Arabidopsis thaliana: one gene and its partners. The protein of the gene in region 1 interacts with the protein of each later gene in a pairwise test. Each region holds a gene or a part of one and is shown in the gene's direction. Other genes may lie near its edges. The genes, in order: AT4G27610, PERK4, BAM2 and AT1G01230.

Evidence for each region.
Region 2: the proteins of AT4G27610 (region 1) and PERK4 interact in a protein complementation assay, tested with the Arabidopsis thaliana proteins (one large-scale study listed by BioGRID).
Region 3: the proteins of AT4G27610 (region 1) and BAM2 interact in a protein complementation assay, tested with the Arabidopsis thaliana proteins (one large-scale study listed by BioGRID).
Region 4: the proteins of AT4G27610 (region 1) and AT1G01230 interact in a protein complementation assay, tested with the Arabidopsis thaliana proteins (one large-scale study listed by BioGRID).

What each region holds. Positions count from the first base shown.
Region 1 is NC_003075.7:13,784,898-13,790,140, reverse strand, and holds AT4G27610 (intracellular protein transporter), read left to right. Parts: upstream 1-1,625; 5' UTR 1,626-2,057; exon of another isoform or gene 2,058-2,767; 5' UTR 2,768-2,808; coding exon 2,809-2,992; intron 2,993-3,079; coding exon 3,080-3,184; intron 3,185-3,777; coding exon 3,778-4,493; 3' UTR 4,494-4,728; downstream 4,729-5,243. Other genes in the region: AT4G27620 (intracellular protein transporter), read left to right, coding at 394-1,082; NARA5 (pfkB-like carbohydrate kinase family protein), read left to right, coding at 5,136-5,243.
Region 2 is NC_003071.7:8,004,520-8,010,414, reverse strand, and holds PERK4 (roline-rich extensin-like receptor kinase 4), read left to right. Parts: upstream 1-1,733; 5' UTR 1,734-2,141; intron 2,142-2,252; exon of another isoform or gene 2,253-2,268; 5' UTR 2,269-2,404; exon of another isoform or gene 2,405-2,575; 5' UTR 2,576-2,647; coding exon 2,648-3,212; intron 3,213-3,279; coding exon 3,280-3,825; intron 3,826-3,913; coding exon 3,914-4,000; intron 4,001-4,106; coding exon 4,107-4,177; intron 4,178-4,256; coding exon 4,257-4,333; intron 4,334-4,430; coding exon 4,431-4,575; coding exon of another isoform or gene 4,576-4,651; coding exon 4,652-4,813; intron 4,814-4,881; coding exon 4,882-5,130; 3' UTR 5,131-5,353; downstream 5,354-5,895. Other genes in the region: AT2G18480 (Major facilitator superfamily protein), read left to right, coding at 1-833; AT2G18465 (Chaperone DnaJ-domain superfamily protein), read left to right, coding at 5,673-5,816. UniProt on the Arabidopsis thaliana protein: Required during abscisic acid (ABA)-mediated activation of Ca(2+) channels. Regulates ABA signaling pathways. Modulates the expression of genes related to cell elongation and ABA signaling during root growth.
Region 3 is NC_003074.8:18,415,784-18,421,808, forward strand, and holds BAM2 (Leucine-rich receptor-like protein kinase family protein), read left to right. Parts: upstream 1-1,784; 5' UTR 1,785-1,957; coding exon 1,958-4,544; intron 4,545-4,631; coding exon 4,632-5,053; 3' UTR 5,054-5,480; downstream 5,481-6,025. UniProt on the Arabidopsis thaliana protein: Necessary for male gametophyte development, as well as ovule specification and function. Involved in cell-cell communication process required during early anther development, and regulating cell division and differentiation to organize cell layers.
Region 4 is NC_003070.9:95,804-99,752, forward strand, and holds AT1G01230 (ORMDL family protein), read left to right. Parts: upstream 1-1,608; 5' UTR 1,609-1,816; coding exon 1,817-2,002; intron 2,003-2,653; coding exon 2,654-2,802; intron 2,803-3,104; coding exon 3,105-3,243; 3' UTR 3,244-3,437; downstream 3,438-3,949. Other genes in the region: AT1G01225 (NC domain-containing protein-like protein), read left to right, coding at 261-354, 751-1,439.

The sequences.
Region 1 (5,243 bases):
AGAGTTTGTGAGTTTGTTATTCTTACTACTGAATTTGCTTATACATAACTTCACTTCACATAGTCTCTTACTGGGGTTTGATTTTGTGGTATCTTTGAAGTGAAAAGAGATTTTGGGAGATGTTGTCAAATAGTTGAAAGAATATGGAGATGGTTCTTACATATTTGTAGCCTCTAGTATCTTGCATAATGATCTTTGTAACCCAATCAGGAACAATATTTGACTAAAGATGTCTTTGTACCCCAATCAGGATTCATACTTAAGTAGCTACTTACGTTAATGAGCTGGAAACTATGAAGGCTGTAGTATTATCCCCCAATGATGGCTTGTGTTATGGCAGAAAAGTTTTGTGTGGGTGTTCTGAGAGTTGGCTTCTTATTTTCATTTATGCAGGAACTGAGAATGGGGAAGGAAATCATGCTACAAATGAGCAAATGGCAGAGTCCAGTACTTCTCTGCCTCTTGTGACAGTTCCTGCTTCATCATATAGCAAAGAGAGTGCAGTCGTATGGGGATCTTCTCCTGACCACCTGGAAGTGCCGATGAAAGCATACCATCAACATTCGACCTGCTCAGATTCTCCTTGCGTATCTGAATCCGGCTCAGACATCTTCAGCAAGCGAGAAGTAATACAGAAACTGAGGCAACAGCTGAAGAGACGTGACGACATGATAGTTGAAATGCAGGAACAGATTCTAGAGCTGCAAAACTCGCTAAACGCCCAGATGGGACACTCTAGCCATATCCAAACACAGCTAGACGCAACAAACAGGGACCTGTTTGAATCAGAAAGAGAAGTCCAGAGACTGAGAAAGGCAATCGCTGATCACTGCGTGGGACACACAGGTAGCAATGGTTGGAGTGGCGATGTGAACAGCGAAAACAACTACGAGTCACCAGAAAATGGAATAAGGGATGGAGAAAGAATAGAGATGTTGAGAAAAGAAGTGGGTGAGCTTAAAGAAGTGATAGATGGGAAAGAGTATCTACTTAGGAGCTATAAGGAGCAGAAAACAGAGCTTTTGCAGAAGGTAAAAGAGTTGCAGCAGAGACTGGACTCGCAGCTCCCAAACATTTTGTAGGTGAAGAAGGTTAGGCATTGTGCATTCTTACCACTCTCTTTTGTTTCCCCGAGTAAAAAATATGAATCTTTGTTCAAAAATATCTCAATTTCTCCGGGGAAACTTATCAACTGACTACATTGTTTTGGGTGTCAATTATGATTTTATCCAAATTGTTTTTTTCTCTTGGTGAAGTGGATATTCGAAAGTTGCAAACTCATACAATATCGTGTCTCAAGGCTTAAATTGTAGAATTGCAGTTGAAGTTTTTTACAAGAAAGTTGGTTACTTGTTCTTAAGGAAAGAGAAAGAAGGGTTGCTAAAATTTAATTTGGCACTTATTTCAGTCAGGTTTTGATATTCATAAGGAAGAAAATCGTTAGAGAAGGAAGGACCAAATATTTAATTTTGTAGTTGTCACATAGTGAAGAAGACAAAAGAAAAATGTATCATCACATTAGCTGGTAGTGACTTAAAATAGAAAAAAAAAAATAATCAACAGAAAGTGCAAACATTTACACATGGATAAAGATGTCAAATGTTCATTCATACTCAAATTATCTATTAAATTTCATTACTAAAAAATTGAAATCGTAAAGAAGAAAAGAAAGAAGAAAAAAACATATGAGCTGAGTTTGTTAACCACCGTGAGCGTCATCCATGGGACGTGGTTGACGCGTGCGTGATTTTATTTTAATAAATGAATTAACAGTGGAAGGAAAAAACAACAACGGAGCTGTAACTGTGAGGCGCCGTCTCTCTTCAACCTCTTCCCCTCCACTTTGCTTCTCTCTCTCCTCCCCGGGGGTTTTACAGTCATATCATCGTCGGAGACTCTGCGATTCTTCACGGAATCGTATTTCTCTCTCAGCGATTTTTTTCGATTCTCGAAGCTGCAAGGACCACCCATCAAACATTGAAACTCAAGCGGGAGAAATTTTCTGGCTCGGGAGGGAAACTATGGAGCCCTAATGCCCATTTTCTGCTGTCTATGAGGTTTTTTAAAGAGTCCTTTATACTCTCCCTGTTTTTGGGTGCTTCGCTCGCTCACTGATTTTTGATTCGTCGGAAAATCTATTTTCGAGCTCGGATTTATGTAATTCCTTATTCTCCTTCTGATTGCGATTGTTGTGTTCATTAAGGGTTGTTGGGATATCGATTAACGGCCCCTATCGAAAAAAATAAGGGTTGTTATTATTTTCATTTCGCTTCATGTTCAAGGCAAGTATCTATCTCTTCTTCTTGCTTTTGTAGTTTTAGAATCTAAATCCCATGGCATCAACGTTTCGATTACTCTTTCAGGGAACTCCATTTTTCTTGCATTTGCTTTTTTTGAGGTAGAGTCTGTGCTCCTATATGATTCCATGGATTCGTCGTATACTTTCTCAACTGAGAATGTTTGACTTAGAGAATCTTCCATTTTTTTTTTTGTCTTTCTCTTTTCAGTGTTACTATCATTTTAGATCTTTTTTTTGTTTTTCCTTCTCTGGTTGACTGTGTTTGAGGTAATGCTCAAAACGTGATTCTTTGTGCTCATTATCTTTTCATATTCTAGTTTCTGGAATCTTTCTGGGTATTAAGCATTTGATGATTTTAAAATTGTATATTTGTTGATTTTATTGAGTTGACACCAGGTTTCTTGTTGACATATGCCCAATTCATTCTGATCGTTGATGATGATTGATTCTTGTATCCGTTCAATGTAGGTTATGTTTGGATGATAGATACATTTTGACTTTCTCATACAATGAGTACACGAAGAAATGGCATTTCCAAGCATCAGCGAGGTGATAAATTTTGTGGTGAAGGGCCAAACTGGATACTAATTGCAGGGGGTGCATTGTTGAGCACATTGTCCATTCGCTTTGGATACAAGCTAAAGCAGTCGCTTGATTCGAAACCTCAATCAAATGGCTCTGCTGGATTAAAACGTACTTACTTTATCGCTGTGTTGCTTAACATGTTTTATAATTTGGTTCTAGTTTTTTTCTATCACTAAATGAAAGCCTCTTGTGCAGCTAATGGAACATCTGAGAGGCAAAAATCTACAAGCTGTTGCTTACACTCTACCACATCTTCCTGTACACAAAATAATGATTTTTGTTGCTTCCGCTCCATTCCAGGTGTGACTTTGTAACTTTCTGTTTTGCCTCATACATATTTGTTCAATCTACTAAACAAACGCTATATGCTTGTTTCTTGGTCTCGCATCATGTCTTACTGGGTTTCCTTTCATGAAGTTAAAACGATGTGTGATATATAGTAAAATCTAGTTGGGAGAATGTGTAGATGTTGTTATAGAGTTCTAGCCTCTGTTATCTTACCTCATGATGTATTTGTCAACTAGGGGAATCCAATTCGAAGTTATGGAATGAGTAAAATAGTTACAAGATTTGCCACCTTGCAATAACTGGTTGAATCGAATATCTCTTGTTTCGTTGTGGCATATTACCATTAATTTGCATCAATTGGGCTGGCAACTAGGGAAGCAGGTTTTCTCCATTGATGGCTGTGTCTAGTGGCTGAATGCTAAAAACAGTTACTAGTTTTGTTATCTACCAAGACCTCGTTAAGCATAGTTACAAGTTTTGTACTATTAGATCCAGACCTGAGTTATGTTTTCTCTTTGGAAAATCTCTGAATCCTAATATTCATGTAGTCCAGAGCAAACAGTCGTGTATGGATCTTATCAGCCTTTGCTTCTTTATTTTTATAGGAACTGAGAGTGTGGAAGGAAAAGAGGTGACAAGCGAGCAAATGATATCCGCATCTGACACTTCACTGCCTCTTGTGACAGTTCCTGCTCCATCGAGCAAAGAGAATGGAGTCATGTGGGCAACTTCTCCTGATCGCCTGGAACTTCCCCCAAGACCATACAATCACAATTCAAACTGCTCAGATTCTCCTTGCGTATCTGAAACCAGCTCAGACATTTTCAGCAAACGAGAAGTAATACAGAAACTAAGGCAGCAGCTGAAGAGACGGGATGACATGATACAGGAAATGCAAGAACAGATTCTAGAGCTGCAAAACTCGTATAACGCACAGACGGCACACTCAAGCCATCTCCAGGCACAGCTAGACACACTGAACAGAGATCTGTTTGAATCAGAAAGAGAAGTTCAAAGACTGAGAAAGGCAATTGCTGATCACAGCGTGGGATGTGGCGCGGACAGCAATGGCAAGACATCTCCGGTTGGACCTTGGAATGGCGGGTTTATGGACAGCGAAAGCAATTATGAGTCACAAGAAAAGAGCCTAAGGGATGGAGAAAGAGTAGAGATGTTGAGAAAGGAAGTGAGTGAGCTTAAAGAAGTGATAGATGGGAAAGAGTATCTACTTAGAAGCTATAAGGAGCAGAAGATTGAGCTTTCGCAGAAGGTAAAAGAGTTGCAGCAGAGACTGGACTCACAGCTCCAAAACTTATTGTAGGTGGAAAGGTTAGGCATTGTGCATACTTGCGTCTCTTATTTTTTTTTTCGGTTCTTTTTCCTTTTTCGAGAAAATGAATCTTAGTATGTACTAAGAACGGTGGAGATCAAGATTTTCAGGTTCTTTCTGGCTTTCTGCTTTCGTTTTTGAATGTCTTGATTCTGTTTTTTCTTTCAACATTTGGTGTAAAGGTAAATAGATAGTTGTTGAAGAATTTACCGCGGGAATAGCTCTCTACTTTTTTTTTTTTTTTATTCTCCGTAATTGGTAACTAACCCGATAATTACAAACGCCACGTATAAGGATGTGTTCACTAGAAGAATTAGCCAATTTTAACACAAATGATAAATAGTATAAACAAATTTTAAATTTATAAATAGACGCAACATACATTATTATTTTTAAGATACAGTTAAAATAAAATTGTTAGCAATTATGCTTATTCTGAAATTTTGGGTTTGAATATAAATAAGAAATAGAGTTTTATCCTAATAAGATTTATATAAATAAACATATAAAGTCAAAGTCATACTTTATCCTCTCAGAGGCCGTCTCTCGGGTTTTGCTGGTCTTCCTTGCTCCTCTCGCTTTTGAATGGAGATGTGAGCTTTCTTCATTCAAAGAGCAAAACTATCTAATTCCATGGCGTTCTCCCTCCTCTCTCCAATTCCTACCTCTGCCTCTCTTTTTTTCACTCTCTCCGCCATTACCGCTTCTAATAATGCTTCCTCCTCCTCTCTCTCCCGTCTT
Region 2 (5,895 bases), on another chromosome or scaffold:
AAGAACGGTTCAGAGACATCTTAACCGCTGCGGAAGTAGATGTGACAGAGATAAAAGAAGTTGGTGGCGGCGTTAAGAAGAAGAATCACGGTAAAAGTGTTTGGAGGGAGTTGGTGATAAAACCGCGACCTGCGGTGCGTTTGATCTTGATAGCGGCCGTTGGGATACACTTTTTCGAGCATGCGACGGGGATTGAGGCCGTCGTGTTGTACAGCCCGAGAATTTTCAAGAAAGCCGGAGTTGTTTCGAAAGACAAGCTCTTACTAGCCACGGTCGGTGTAGGTTTAACTAAGGCCTTTTTCATAATAATAGCCACTTTCTTGCTCGACAAGGTAGGTCGTAGAAAGCTCCTGTTGACCAGTACGGGTGGGATGGTCTTCGCATTGACCAGTTTAGCGGTTAGTCTCACGATGGTTCAGCGATTTGGGCGGTTAGCGTGGGCATTGAGTTTAAGCATCGTCTCTACGTATGCATTTGTAGCTTTTTTCTCCATAGGGCTTGGACCTATCACATGGGTGTACAGCTCCGAGATATTCCCGTTGAGACTTAGGGCTCAGGGAGCGAGTATAGGTGTTGCGGTTAATAGGATCATGAACGCGACGGTCTCAATGAGTTTTCTGTCGATGACGAAGGCGATCACGACAGGGGGCGTGTTCTTCGTATTCGCCGGAATAGCGGTGGCGGCATGGTGGTTCTTCTTCTTTATGTTGCCGGAGACGAAAGGATTGCCATTGGAGGAGATGGAGAAGCTTTTTGGTGGTGGGGGTCCTCGTGGTGATCGTGACGGACTTGAGATTCAAACTAAAACCATCTCTATTGGGGGTTTCTCATAAGAGTTTCTCACAATTAAAAAAATAAAAATAATAAAAATGAAGGAGAGAGAGTGTAGAAAGATTCTCAGAAACTTTGAGATACTCTCTACAACCCATCATGACAATTCGCTTCTCACTATTGGTTCAACTTTTTAACAAAAATATTTTTTTAATCAAAAATTCAAATTATAATATAATATTAATTTTTTTTTGTTTGAGAAACTTTGTGGGTTTCTCATGGATGGAGATGCCCTTAGAGAGTCAATAATTAGGTTAGATTATCATGGCTATGTAGAATAATTTTTAAATCCAACATGATTTGGCATATCTATTATAAGGTGTGATTTTTTGTAAAGGACAAAGTATGATTTTTATATTCATCCCTTTTTACTGTAGCTAATGAGAATCTACAACCTAATAAAAAACAATAACAATTATTTAATTATAAAATCTAATAGTTCACCAAAACAAAATCATATATCGGTTTGGATTTATAAGAGAGGGTTAAAGTTTAAATTTTATGATTAAACGAAGTTAAATACCAGTTTAGGTTTATAAACGATTTTAGATTTTAGAATCAAACGAGGTTAAATGTCGGTTTAGAGTTATAAACGGGTTTGGATTTTACAATTAGATGAGGTTAAATGTCGGTTTGAGTTTTAGAAAGAACGATTTAAGTTTAGATTTTACAATTAATCGAGTTTAAATGTCGGTTTGGATTTACAAAATAGAATTAGAGTTTAAATTTTGTAATTAAACAAAATTATATATCGGTTTGAGTTTATGAAATAGTGGTTAAGATTATAGATTTTATAATTAAATGAGTTTATTTATTTATTAGGTGACATATTCTAATTGGCTGAAAGAGGTGAATGAAAAGGTGAACCAAGAATTGTTCGATTTTTAACTACACATCTAATTCTAGACTCTAGAGTATGCATATTAATGTTTCCAGAGATCAGAAAGTGCTTAAACAAAACATATTGATCACTTCATGGTTTTTAAGTCTTAGTTTAATTGATGGAAAGGAGAGGATTACCAATACTGAAGTAGAGTCATAGTTGATATTTGAGGGGTGAGAACCCTGAGATTCGTAAAGAAATCGATGAACTTGTGCGTGAAGAAATTAGTTTGATCATGCTCAAAGGTCTAAATAATAAAAAACCTTGACATTTGTTCCCAATTGAAGTCCTTTAATTGTGAGAAAAATTATGTTGCTCTAGAGCAATATTGAAGAAAAAGGAGACATATCACATATGGGAAGACCTGAGGAGCAATGATTTGATTTGACGGACCAAAATAAACCAGAGATTTTCCTGACAAATTAAGGTAATAATGCATGAGGTTACGTGGAAATGAATCAACAATCGTTAGCTCCTAATATCACGGAGCCAAAAAGAGAAAAATTAGACCGGAGATTATTACAATTAGTAACTAACACAAAACTGTTATTAAGACAGAAAGAGAGAGAAGAGGCATGTTTCTCGGAATGAAGACAGAGCAAATCTCAATCTTCCTTTTTCACCTTATTCCTATTATCATTTTCTGATCAAATGTTCAAAAACTCTCTCCCCTTAATCTCTTCCTCTAAGGTACACACTTTCATGCTAATCTCTTAACTAATTTTGTATTAATCTCTTATATTTAGCATTACCTGTTTTGTTAACGATCTAACGAACATAATAAGACAAGAACTTGTTCCAACGTTAACACCATTTTGATTATGATCTGTTTTTTCTACGTGTTGTTGTTGTTGTTCTCAGAATAATTGAGTGGTTAAGGGAGAGAGGAGACGGAGAGTTTTTATTTTCGTTACCGGAAAATTTTGATCTCCGATGGCTTCTTCTCCTGAATCTGCTCCTCCAACAAACTCCACCTCTTCTCCATCTCCACCGTCTAATACCAATTCAACCACCTCTTCTCCGCCGGCTCCGTCTCCTCCTTCTCCTACACCTCCTCAAGGAGACTCATCATCATCGCCACCTCCTGATTCCACATCTCCACCAGCTCCACAAGCTCCTAACCCTCCTAATTCCTCTAATAACTCTCCTTCCCCTCCGTCACAGGGCGGTGGAGGAGAAAGAGGAAATGGAGGAAACAATGGTGGCAATGATACTCCACCGTCACGCGGCTCTCCTCCTTCTCCTCCTTCTAGGAGTAATGGAGATAATGGTGGTAGCAGATCATCGCCACCAGGAGACACTGGAGGCTCTCGCTCAGACAACCCTCCTTCTAGCGGAGGAAGCAGTGGAGGAGGTGGAGGTGGAAGAAGTAATACGAATACAGCGATCATAGTTGGTGTATTAGTCGGAGCTGGACTTTTGATGATCGTTCTTATTATTGTGTGTCTTAGACGCAAAAAGAAGAGAAAAGACTCCTTCTACCCTGAACCCATGAAAGGTAAAAACATATACACACTCTTATGTTTCAACAAATAAGAAGCTTAGATTCTTTCATAAAATTTCAGGAAACCAATATCAATACTATGGAAACAACAACAACAACAATGCTTCACAGAATTATCCGAATTGGCACCTAAATTCACAAGGCCAAAACCAACAATCTACTGGTGGTTGGGGAGGCGGTGGACCATCACCGCCTCCTCCTCCGCGGATGCCTACAAGCGGAGAAGATTCTTCCATGTACTCAGGCCCATCACGCCCAGTTTTACCTCCTCCTTCGCCTGCTCTAGCCCTCGGATTCAACAAGAGCACTTTTACTTACCAAGAGCTTGCGGCTGCAACAGGAGGGTTTACGGATGCTAACCTTTTGGGACAGGGAGGATTTGGGTATGTCCATAAAGGAGTCTTGCCTAGCGGGAAAGAAGTAGCAGTTAAGAGTTTAAAAGCGGGTAGCGGACAAGGAGAGAGGGAGTTTCAAGCTGAGGTCGATATCATTAGCCGTGTGCATCATCGGTATCTTGTTTCTTTGGTTGGATATTGCATAGCTGATGGACAGAGGATGTTGGTTTATGAGTTTGTTCCTAACAAAACTTTGGAATATCATCTTCATGGTTAGACCACTTAAAAACTTTGAGTACTAAGTTTATTTTCTCTAATCTATATATTCAAGAAAGTTGTAACCTTAATTTGTTGTTGTAGGGAAAAATCTTCCGGTAATGGAGTTCTCCACTAGGTTGCGTATCGCCTTAGGTGCTGCGAAAGGACTCGCTTACCTTCACGAAGACTGTAAGTTTTAACATTCACCATTCTCATTTTCTTAACCAAGTTGCATAAAACAGAGAAAGCTCTGTCTCTGACTAGTGTTATCTTTTTGGCTGAGAAAATGGTGCAGGCCATCCTCGGATCATTCACCGCGACATCAAGTCTGCAAATATTCTCTTGGACTTCAACTTTGATGCTATGGTGATAAACTAGTAGCTTGCATTCATCTACGGTTTTTTGTTAAGACTACATTGATGACATTTTGCATTTGTTTATTCAGGTGGCTGATTTTGGATTAGCTAAGTTAACATCTGATAACAACACTCATGTATCTACTCGTGTGATGGGAACTTTCGGGTAAGCGTTTTACCGTATGATAAGATTGTTCGTGACACTCAAGAAACATAACCTTTGTAGACTAATCTACTTTGCTTCTTTCCACAAACATGTGTAGATATCTAGCTCCAGAATATGCTTCAAGCGGTAAATTAACCGAGAAATCCGATGTTTTCTCTTACGGAGTTATGTTATTGGAACTTATAACTGGAAAACGACCGGTTGATAATAGCATCACCATGGACGACACCTTAGTAGATTGGGTATTCATGCATGTAACATATGTATCGTGTATATATGTTTTTCGCCTTTTTCGCGTACTAATGATCATGAATACAGGCTCGGCCTCTTATGGCTCGCGCGCTAGAAGATGGAAACTTTAATGAGCTCGCAGATGCGAGGCTTGAAGGCAACTACAACCCGCAAGAAATGGCTCGAATGGTGACTTGTGCCGCTGCTAGCATTCGTCATTCGGGGCGTAAACGTCCAAAGATGAGCCAGGTGAATCAAAATTATAACTAAAAGTCTATTTTTGTCAGAGAATAACAAACAAATGTTGTGGTTTTCAGATAGTAAGAGCGTTAGAAGGAGAAGTGTCCTTAGATGCTTTAAACGAAGGTGTGAAGCCAGGACACAGTAACGTTTACGGGTCATTGGGAGCAAGCTCGGATTATAGTCAGACATCTTACAATGCAGACATGAAGAAATTCAGACAGATAGCTTTGTCGAGCCAAGAATTCCCAGTCAGTGACTGTGAAGGAACATCTAGTAATGATTCTAGAGATATGGGAACTAAGAGCCCTACTCCTCCAAAATGAGATCGAATCAATGATTCTGTAAAGAAGAGATTTTGGGGCTCTGAGAGTAGAGCAATGTAAGCTTTAAGCAAAAGCATTGTCATTGCTTGATTGGTTGGTTTTTTTTTTCATATATTTTTCGACTAAATTGTGTTATGTTTAGATCGTTACGTATGTGTATGATTCTTGAGATTTGATTCGATTCTCAAACATGAAATTAAAATTGTTTGATTTTGAATTGTATCTACTACATGTCTACATTCATAATCAAAGTGACAAGCTTTTTCAACTTTGGCTTTATGCTGTTCTTTACATGCTCTGTTTTTCATCTGTTTTCGTAATCTACCAAAAATTAAACCTAAACAAACCGAACTCAAACCAGATTGTTTAACGAATCACAATTAAACCGGTCCGGTTAGAAAACCCTCGCGTGTGACGCCTACCTTTCCTCTTCTCCGTCGTCTCTCCCATTTCTTCCTCAAATCTCTCTTTTCACGCCAAATGAAAGTTTAAAACCTTTGAATTGTTTATTGAAAGTTTACATTTTTCTGTTGAATCCAACTATGTTTAGATTGAGAAGTCTCTTGTCGCTGAAGAGTTCTTCGATTGTAGAATTGTCATCACAAAACGTCACAGAAGCAATTCGTTTCGCTCCATTTCATTCGACAAGTGTTCTGTCTGAAAAATCGAGGAGTAGATTTGGTTCTGTAAGATCATTCTCTATAAAGATTTGCTTCCTTATTGAATCTATGTACACTGTAATTAGACGTATTGATGCTCTTAGAT
Region 3 (6,025 bases), on another chromosome or scaffold:
ACCACTTGAAAATTTGAACCCACTCTCTCTTTTTTTGTTTTCAATTTCGAAACCAAAATTTTTTAACAAAAAGATGACTTTGTGACCTTTGTTCTGTCTTTTAGCTACACACCAGTGGGCTGTTTGCTTTTACAGCGTGTCTTTCTGTTTACATGATTCAAGAGAAAGCAACAGTTCCTAAAGACTCAGTCATGTTTGTGTCTCTCCCAATTGATACAAAGACCAAAATTCAGCTTTGGTTCTTTTGTGTAAAAGTTCTCGAGATATGCTAATAAGATTAAACATAAAAACTCTCAAAAAGAGTATAAATTGAATTCTTTATGATTGTAGTAGCAAACAATAATTGTTAGGTTTAGTGCTATCATAATAATCTATTAGTCAGGTTAAATATATTCGATTTGGTACCAAATACGAAATCAAGCTTCAACAAACGAATCTGCAATACACACACACCCATCCAAAAGTATATCTTCGACATTTTCCCCAAAAAAGTATACATTTCCTAACACGTGCTTACCAATTCTTATCATTCGAAGTAAACCATTAAACAAGAAATGTTTTCATTATTATAAATTTTTCACTAATATAAGTTTATTATTTAGTGCAAGAAAGTGCGTTGCAGATGAAAACTTATTCTATTGATCCGGGTCCATAAAGAAGAAAACAAAAATTCACCTAATACGAGTACGACTTATTCTAGTGGCTACATATTTCCCTAATCATGTGACTAAAAATCTGCTTTCAAAATTTTGACATTCAGTATTTCTTTAGATCTATATCATTAAAAATTCATTTTTTTCTTTTGCATTTTGATTCCATATTTAATACAAGATTAAAAAAAAAAAAACTAATATGTTTGTTCACTGAGCAAACCATTATTGTTGATCAGTGAACTGTGGTAACTGGCAAAAGAAGCAAATGATTCGAAATCCTACTTTCTTACAAAATCAAATTGGATAATTTTGTGAGATAATAAAAAATCAGTATAAATAAAATAAAATACATGTCGGGAAACCATTATTGTTGATCAGTGAACTGTGGTAACTGGCAAAAGATGAAAATGATGCACATAGGACTGTGTTTAACTGACTTACTTCCACTAATCAAAAGTACGATCGTATCCCTACCCATCTCTCGAGGATCTTAACTGTTGCCGTGCGTCATCTCAAGGTTGTTCTCGTCATTATCAGTCGATCAGAGTACAGAGACCGGCTCTCTGGGTTTTGTCGATCATGCCATTGCCTTGGGGCTTGTTGTTGTGGTCCGTCCTAAGGATAGAAATGTTATTACAAAGCTTTTTAAGGGGTTCTTTGGTTAATTAAGTGTTTCGTTTTGCTTAAGAGAGGTTAAAGAAGCGGGTGTCTCAATAAGTTTTGGTAAGTTTGTGAATCCCCAGTGGTGGACTCCATCTTTTCCCGTCGAATTATAACATCAGGACCGTTCATTTCAACATCATCAATTAATTCATTATGGGGTTTATCTTTAAAACATCTTTTTGAATTTATGGTTCGCTTTGGTATTGCATTATTACACTTGTATACCTGTGTAATAAAGTGTTGGATTTTGTCAAGATTAGGTAACATCACGTTTCAAAACAACAAGGCTCCAAATTAATTAACATTTTCTTCATGTAATTATCGTTTTTGAATCCCTTCCTTTCTAATTCCATGTTTCATTAAATCCACCACATGCATATGTTTCTATATATGTTAAATAAACGACTTTTCAAGTTTTTAATTTGTGTTTTCTATTTTCAGAAAATTTATGTGAAATCAAAGTTTCTTAAAAATCTCCCTCCAAGTAAATTCCAAAATAAAATAAAAATAATACTTTTACAATATACAAATAAAACTCATAAAAAACACACACACAATCTTCATCTTCCTCACTTACTCTCACCCTTTTTAAAACCAAACCCTAACTTACACAGAAAGAGAAGAAAAAAAACAAAAAAAAAATGAAGCTTCTTCTTCTCCTCCTCCTCCTCCTTCTCCTCCACATTTCTCATTCCTTCACCGTCGCTAAACCAATCACCGAGCTCCACGCTCTTCTCTCACTCAAATCCTCCTTCACCATCGACGAACACTCACCTCTCCTGACCTCATGGAACCTTTCAACAACTTTCTGTTCATGGACCGGTGTCACGTGCGACGTCTCTCTCCGTCACGTGACCTCTCTCGACCTCTCAGGTCTTAACCTCTCCGGAACTCTCTCCTCCGACGTAGCTCATTTACCTCTGCTACAGAATCTATCACTCGCTGCTAATCAGATCTCAGGTCCTATTCCGCCGCAAATCTCCAATCTCTATGAGCTTCGTCACCTCAATCTCTCCAATAATGTCTTCAACGGTTCATTTCCCGATGAACTCTCCTCTGGATTGGTGAATCTCCGTGTTCTTGACTTATACAACAACAATTTAACCGGAGATTTACCGGTTTCACTCACTAATCTCACTCAGCTCCGTCATCTTCACCTCGGTGGGAATTACTTCTCCGGCAAAATCCCGGCGACGTACGGAACCTGGCCTGTTCTCGAATACTTAGCGGTTTCCGGTAACGAGCTAACCGGTAAAATCCCTCCGGAGATCGGAAACCTAACGACTCTTCGTGAACTTTACATCGGATATTACAACGCTTTTGAAAATGGTCTTCCACCGGAGATTGGAAATTTATCAGAGCTTGTTCGGTTCGACGCTGCTAATTGTGGTTTAACCGGAGAGATTCCACCGGAGATTGGGAAGCTTCAGAAGCTAGATACGTTGTTTCTTCAAGTAAACGCATTTACAGGGACAATAACTCAAGAGCTGGGATTGATTTCAAGCTTGAAATCGATGGATCTGTCTAACAATATGTTTACCGGCGAGATTCCGACGAGTTTTTCACAGCTGAAGAACTTAACGCTTTTGAATCTCTTCAGGAATAAGCTCTACGGTGCTATACCTGAGTTCATCGGTGAAATGCCGGAGCTTGAAGTGTTGCAGCTTTGGGAGAACAATTTCACTGGTAGTATTCCTCAGAAATTGGGGGAAAATGGTAGATTAGTGATTCTTGATCTCTCTTCGAACAAACTCACCGGAACTCTGCCGCCGAATATGTGTTCTGGTAACCGGTTAATGACGTTAATCACTCTTGGCAACTTCTTGTTTGGTTCAATACCGGATTCGCTTGGTAAATGTGAGTCTCTGACCCGGATCCGGATGGGTGAGAATTTCCTTAACGGGTCGATTCCAAAGGAGCTCTTCGGGTTACCTAAATTATCTCAAGTGGAGCTCCAAGACAATTACCTTACCGGAGAGTTGCCAATAAGCGGAGGAGGAGTCTCTGGTGACCTTGGTCAGATTAGTCTTTCTAATAACCAGCTCTCTGGTTCATTACCTGCAGCTATTGGAAACTTGTCCGGTGTTCAAAAACTACTTCTTGATGGTAACAAGTTCTCTGGTTCGATTCCTCCCGAGATTGGGAGGCTTCAGCAGCTATCTAAGTTGGATTTTAGCCACAATCTGTTCTCCGGTCGGATCGCACCGGAGATCAGTCGTTGTAAGCTGCTAACGTTTGTTGATCTTAGCCGTAATGAGCTCTCAGGTGATATTCCTAATGAACTCACAGGTATGAAGATCTTGAATTACTTGAATCTTTCAAGAAACCATCTCGTTGGTTCCATACCTGTGACGATAGCATCAATGCAGAGTTTGACATCGGTTGATTTCTCTTACAACAATCTCTCCGGTTTAGTTCCCAGCACTGGACAGTTTAGTTACTTCAATTACACATCGTTTGTGGGTAACTCTCATCTTTGTGGTCCGTATTTGGGTCCTTGCGGCAAAGGAACTCACCAGTCTCATGTCAAACCTTTATCTGCTACTACGAAACTGTTACTCGTCCTTGGATTGCTCTTTTGTTCGATGGTGTTTGCTATAGTGGCCATAATCAAAGCTCGGTCCTTGCGAAATGCGAGTGAAGCCAAGGCATGGAGATTGACTGCTTTCCAGAGGCTAGACTTCACTTGTGACGATGTCTTGGACTCTCTCAAGGAAGACAACATCATCGGTAAAGGCGGTGCTGGGATTGTCTACAAAGGCACTATGCCTAAAGGCGACCTAGTCGCGGTCAAACGATTGGCTACAATGTCCCATGGATCTTCCCACGATCACGGGTTCAACGCCGAGATTCAGACGCTAGGTAGAATCAGACACAGACACATCGTGAGACTGCTCGGTTTTTGCTCCAACCACGAAACGAATCTCCTTGTGTACGAGTACATGCCTAATGGTAGCCTTGGAGAGGTTCTTCATGGAAAGAAAGGAGGTCATTTACATTGGAACACACGTTATAAGATAGCTCTTGAAGCAGCCAAGGGTCTTTGCTATCTCCACCATGATTGTTCCCCGTTGATCGTCCATAGAGATGTTAAATCCAACAACATCCTCCTCGATTCCAACTTCGAAGCTCATGTCGCCGACTTTGGTCTCGCCAAGTTCCTCCAAGATTCCGGTACTTCTGAATGTATGTCCGCAATTGCCGGCTCCTACGGCTACATAGCTCCAGGTAACAAATTTGCAGAAAATGGCATTTAATCAAACACTTGGTGGTGAAATGTAAAATCTCTGAACTTGTTTGTTCCTTGTTGAGCAGAGTACGCGTATACATTGAAGGTAGATGAGAAGAGCGATGTGTATAGTTTCGGTGTTGTTCTTCTAGAACTCATCACCGGGAAAAAACCCGTCGGAGAATTTGGCGACGGCGTTGATATTGTTCAATGGGTGAGAAGCATGACGGATTCAAATAAAGATTGTGTGCTCAAAGTAATCGATCTTAGACTCTCTTCAGTTCCAGTTCACGAGGTAACACACGTCTTCTACGTTGCGTTGCTCTGCGTTGAAGAACAAGCGGTGGAGAGGCCGACGATGCGTGAAGTCGTTCAGATTCTCACTGAGATCCCAAAAATTCCTCTTTCGAAGCAGCAAGCGGCGGAATCAGACGTGACTGAGAAAGCTCCGGCGATTAATGAATCGTCGCCGGATTCAGGAAGTCCACCGGATCTTTTAAGTAATTAGACTTTCCGGCGATTGGGTTTGGTCATTGAGGGGCAAATTTGTCTTTCTAATTTTCTTGTCACCGACGTCTCGGTAGTGGAGTTAATTACTTAATTAGCCCGTTGTTGTCTGGTTCCGGTTAAGGCAACAATTAGTGGTTTAACTCTTAAGGTTGTTGCATTTCTTTTTTCACTGCTGCCACAATTATTCGTGTAGGAATTTTGAATATGTACATTGCGGTTGAATTTTGCATGATAAGTGGTTAATTTCAGGAAATCGAATTTCGAGAACATTATGGCTTATGCATATCAGCATATATATACATGCAGTTATGTATATGATCAATCTGCCCCCGGTTCAAGTATGTCAATTGTGTTAGACCAAAAAACACTTTTGCCCCTTATATTCTTAAGAACTTCATTTAGTTTCATACTCAAGCAAAAACTAATTTTTTAGAGTTTTCGTTGTCTTAAAATGAAACTAGTGTCTCCATTATGCTGGAATCTTGCTTATGAGTTGTTACATTACATATTTTATTCTCACCTTTGCTTTTACCCTTTTGGATTGTATCTGGTTGTGGTAGCTGTTGTGTCACAACAAGACATTCCATGTGAAAAAAACACAGAGAGGGTGAAACCAAGGTATGAATGTGTTTGTGTGGGACTGAAGATGAGTAACGCTGAGAAGAGAGAAAGTGAAAGCTCACTCACAATTTGTCCAATTATTGCAAATGTATGGGTAGTGTGACACTAGTGTCTTAATGAATTCAGATGGTCCTAAGATCTTTTTTCCACTCTATTCCCTTGTCTTGAAGCAAAAATCTAATTTTAGACGAAGCATTTATGACATCTCCCTCTCATTAATTACAAGCCATATATTCAACTTTGATTTTGACTCATCAATATCAAAAAATCTTTAGACTTTAGGTGTTGTTGCTATCCTTGGTATCTAGTACTTTCTTCGATAACCATGACTATTATATTGAGATAAGAA
Region 4 (3,949 bases), on another chromosome or scaffold:
GCCCCGGAAAATCAGTACGTTGGTAGCATTTGGATTTGGAGATAACGCCGTTAAAAGACTCTGTAACGGGTTTGCTCAACAGCTCTCTCTAGTTCGTTTATCGAATTAGATAATGCCACTCCAAAAAACGTTACTTTACCTTACCTATCTCGCTGACGTCAGATCCCACCGTTAGAGCTTACACTTGTAACGCCGTTTCCTGCATTTTCCACAAGCAAGGTAAAAAAAAGCTTTGTGCAGAGAGAGAGAGAAGAAGAAAAATGGGTTTGCTTACGAACAAGATTGAGAGAGAAGAGCTAAAGCCAGGAGATCACATCTATACTTACAGAGCAATCTTCGCTTATTCTCACCACGGTAACTTTAGATTCATTCTTCCCAAGTTTGCTCCTTTCTTTCTCGTTCATTCAATCATAACATCAAAAAGTGAAATTATCCTCAATGCAAGTCTTTTCTTTTAGTTTCTACTGGTCGGTTTAATCTTCTTATTGAAACTGTAAATTCACAAAGTTGACGACTTTATCTAGATAGATCTTGAAGACAATGGTCTATATTCCAATCTTTGCATGACCTAATTTCACCCTGGCTCTGTATTTTGATGTTATTCCATCATATCTTCTGATCTCTGATGGACTTTATAGATGATTTTTGTTTATTTGACATATTTTTATCCCAATTTCCTCTGGTGATGAAGAATTGATACTGTTGTAGACATTCCTTCATGGGCTTTGATTTGATTGTGGATTTTTGCAGGAATCTTTGTCGGTGGGTCCAAAGTTGTTCATTTCAGACCTGAACACAACCCCATGGATTCATCAACATCATCAATATCATCATCTTCCTCTGAAGATATCTGTTCCATATTTCCTGATTGCGGTTTCAGACAACCGGACAGTGGAGTAGTCCTTTCTTGCTTAGACTGTTTCCTCAAGAACGGCTCACTCTACTGCTTCGAATATGGAGTCAGTCCATCGGTTTTCCTAACCAAAGTCCGCGGAGGGACTTGCACAACCGCGCAATCTGATACAACTGATTCAGTCATCCACAGGGCAATGTACCTTCTCCAAAACGGATTTGGCAACTACGACATTTTCAAGAACAACTGTGAGGATTTCGCGCTCTATTGCAAGACCGGTTTGCTTATAATGGATAAGCTCGGTGTAGGGAGAAGCGGTCAAGCTTCTTCAATTGTTGGTGCTCCTTTGGCTGCACTCCTCTCTTCTCCTTTCAAATTGCTTATTCCAAGTCCCATTGGTGTGGCAACAGTTACTGCTGGTATGTACTGTATGAGTCGCTATGCTACCGATATTGGTGTTAGAAGCGACGTCATTAAGGTCTCAGTTGAGGATTTGGCTCTCAACCTTGACGTAAAGACCATTGAGCAAGGTGAAGAAGAAGAAGAAGACGAAGAAGAAGATTCTGATACCGACTATGTTAGGTGACAAACAGATACCTATCACCTTTGTTCACGAATTTCGATATACATAAGAAAACATTTCAGTTAGAATCCTCATGTTGGTTTTATGTTCCCTTTATTGCATTTGTTGGCCTATTTTCTGTCTGTACAAAATGAAAACGCAGACGTTTTGGTTTGGGTAATGTCAAAAATATCCCAATAATTAATTAATGCCCAGTGTAGATGCAAAAAAGCAGTCGTCGTCTTTCACGGGCACACAAAATTAAACCAAAGAAACAAACAATCCTTGTTCTCGCCGAAATAGAGAATTTTGTGAATCTGGGTTTTTAGTTCAGGTGTTAATATAAGATTTTGATCAAAAGAAGACGAGATTCGATCCGATCCGATCTGATTGAAGAAGAAATGGCGAATCTGTATGTGAAAGCGGTTCCACCACCGGATATGAATAGGAATACGGAATGGTTCATGTATCCAGGAGTTTGGACGACTTACATGCTTATTCTCTTCTTCGGTTGGCTCGTTGTTCTCTCTGTCTCTGGTTGTTCCCCTGGAATGGCTTGGACTGTTGTTAATCTCGCTCACTTCGTTGTAAGTCTTCGATTGTGTTTATGCTTTAGAGATGATTTTTTCACTTAGGGTTGTGACTTTAAATTAGATGATGGATTGATTCCTTGTTTTTTTTTTATTTCCTGAGATCTGGATGTGAATCTGGCTCTAGTGTTTGAATTGATCTCTTTGGTTATTAGCAATTTTTTAGTTGGTTTAGGGTTCGAATGAAGAGGCAATTACCTTCTGATTGATCAGTTTTAGCTATCGTATATCGTTGAGCTTGGATCAGGCTTCGAATTAGGATACAGTTACCTTCTTATCAATGAATTGATCAGTTTTGGTATCAGCGATTTTGAATTGATCTGTTTGGATACTATCAGCAGTGTTGACTGTTGAGTTGATCAGGCTTTTAAGTAAGATGCAATTCTCTTCTAAGTTTGAATTGATCGGTTTTGGATCAGGCTTCGAATTAAGATGCACCTTCTCGTTAATGAATTATCAGTTTTTGATATCAGAAACTAAAACTACCTATGGCATCAATGCAATTTCTTAAGGTCTAACTGTTTGATATAATGCGGTGACTTGTAAATTGGCATTGCTTGATTGTCAAAACCAAATTTAATCTAATTTCTAATTACTCTTTAGGAAAATGTGATGTCTGAGTAGAAATTTGTGGATATTTGTTGTCAGGTAACGTATCACAGCTTCCACTGGATGAAAGGAACTCCTTTTGCAGATGACCAAGGAATCTACAATGGTTTAACTTGGTGGGAACAAATGGACAATGGTCAACAGCTTACCCGCAACCGCAAATTTCTTACCCTAGTTCCTGTTGTTCTGTAAGTCCCAGCACCTTGTTCCTCAAAATCTCACCACTCTTGTCTATTTCCAATCTATATTTTCTTAGCAAATTATTTTCTTTAGCTGCATATATCCTTGTGTCTCATATGGTTAATAAATATGCTAATTTCTCAATACACATATCTAAATCCGGTGATGTGTAACGGACTAGTTCTAGAGAACTCTGTATACGCGATAATGTGTATAAACAAGAGCTGCATTTATCTGGATGAACTTTTAAGATTGAGCTCTTTAGCTTTTGTACTTGTTTTCTGACTTTATAACGACACATTTAAAACAGGTACTTGATTGCATCGCATACAACAGATTACAGACATCCATGGCTGTTCCTCAACACACTCGCTGTGATGGTTCTCGTTGTTGCCAAGTTCCCCAACATGCACAAGGTACGCATCTTTGGTATCAATGGTGATAAATAAGTTTCCTTTACGGCAAGAGAACACCTGAAAGAAGGAAAAGGGGATATAAGCGAACATATATATGTGTAAATGTTCATATGAGTTGGTTTAATTCTCGAGTCATGTTTTTTGTTGGATATTTGTAAGTAAACTCTCTAATTTTGAAGCTTTCATCTTTTACCTTTTATAATAGACACGAAAAAGCTTTCCCTTCATCTCCCCACTTCACTTCAGATAATGGGCCTAATAGCAATATGGGCTTGAACAATAATTGAATTTAACAATGGCCCAAAGATTCCTGTCGTGGTGACTCATGAGTTATCATAACACCAGAATGTTTTCGATTGAGCGTAATGATTCAGTGGGATCTAAAGAACACGTGGCTGCCTACAAGATCTCTAACAGCTGGTTAATGACACGTGTCATAGTTAAAGTCCACCTGGATGGATATTATATCATGGTGTACGTATACAAAATAGTTAATCCCTCTTCAAAATTGAATAAAGCTAACAAAAGTAATCAATTAACGTGATTAAAAAAAAAAAGAGAATGCTAATTGGACCCCGAAAACATGATATATCCTGCAAAATTAAAGCCGACAAAACGAAAGAATGACTAATTAAAGTTGGAATAAGACTAATGATTTTTTTTTTTTTTTTTCTTATTGTGGTCCAATGTAAGAAAATAAATAAAAACATCTTATCCATTAAATCGAAAGTAGGGTCCA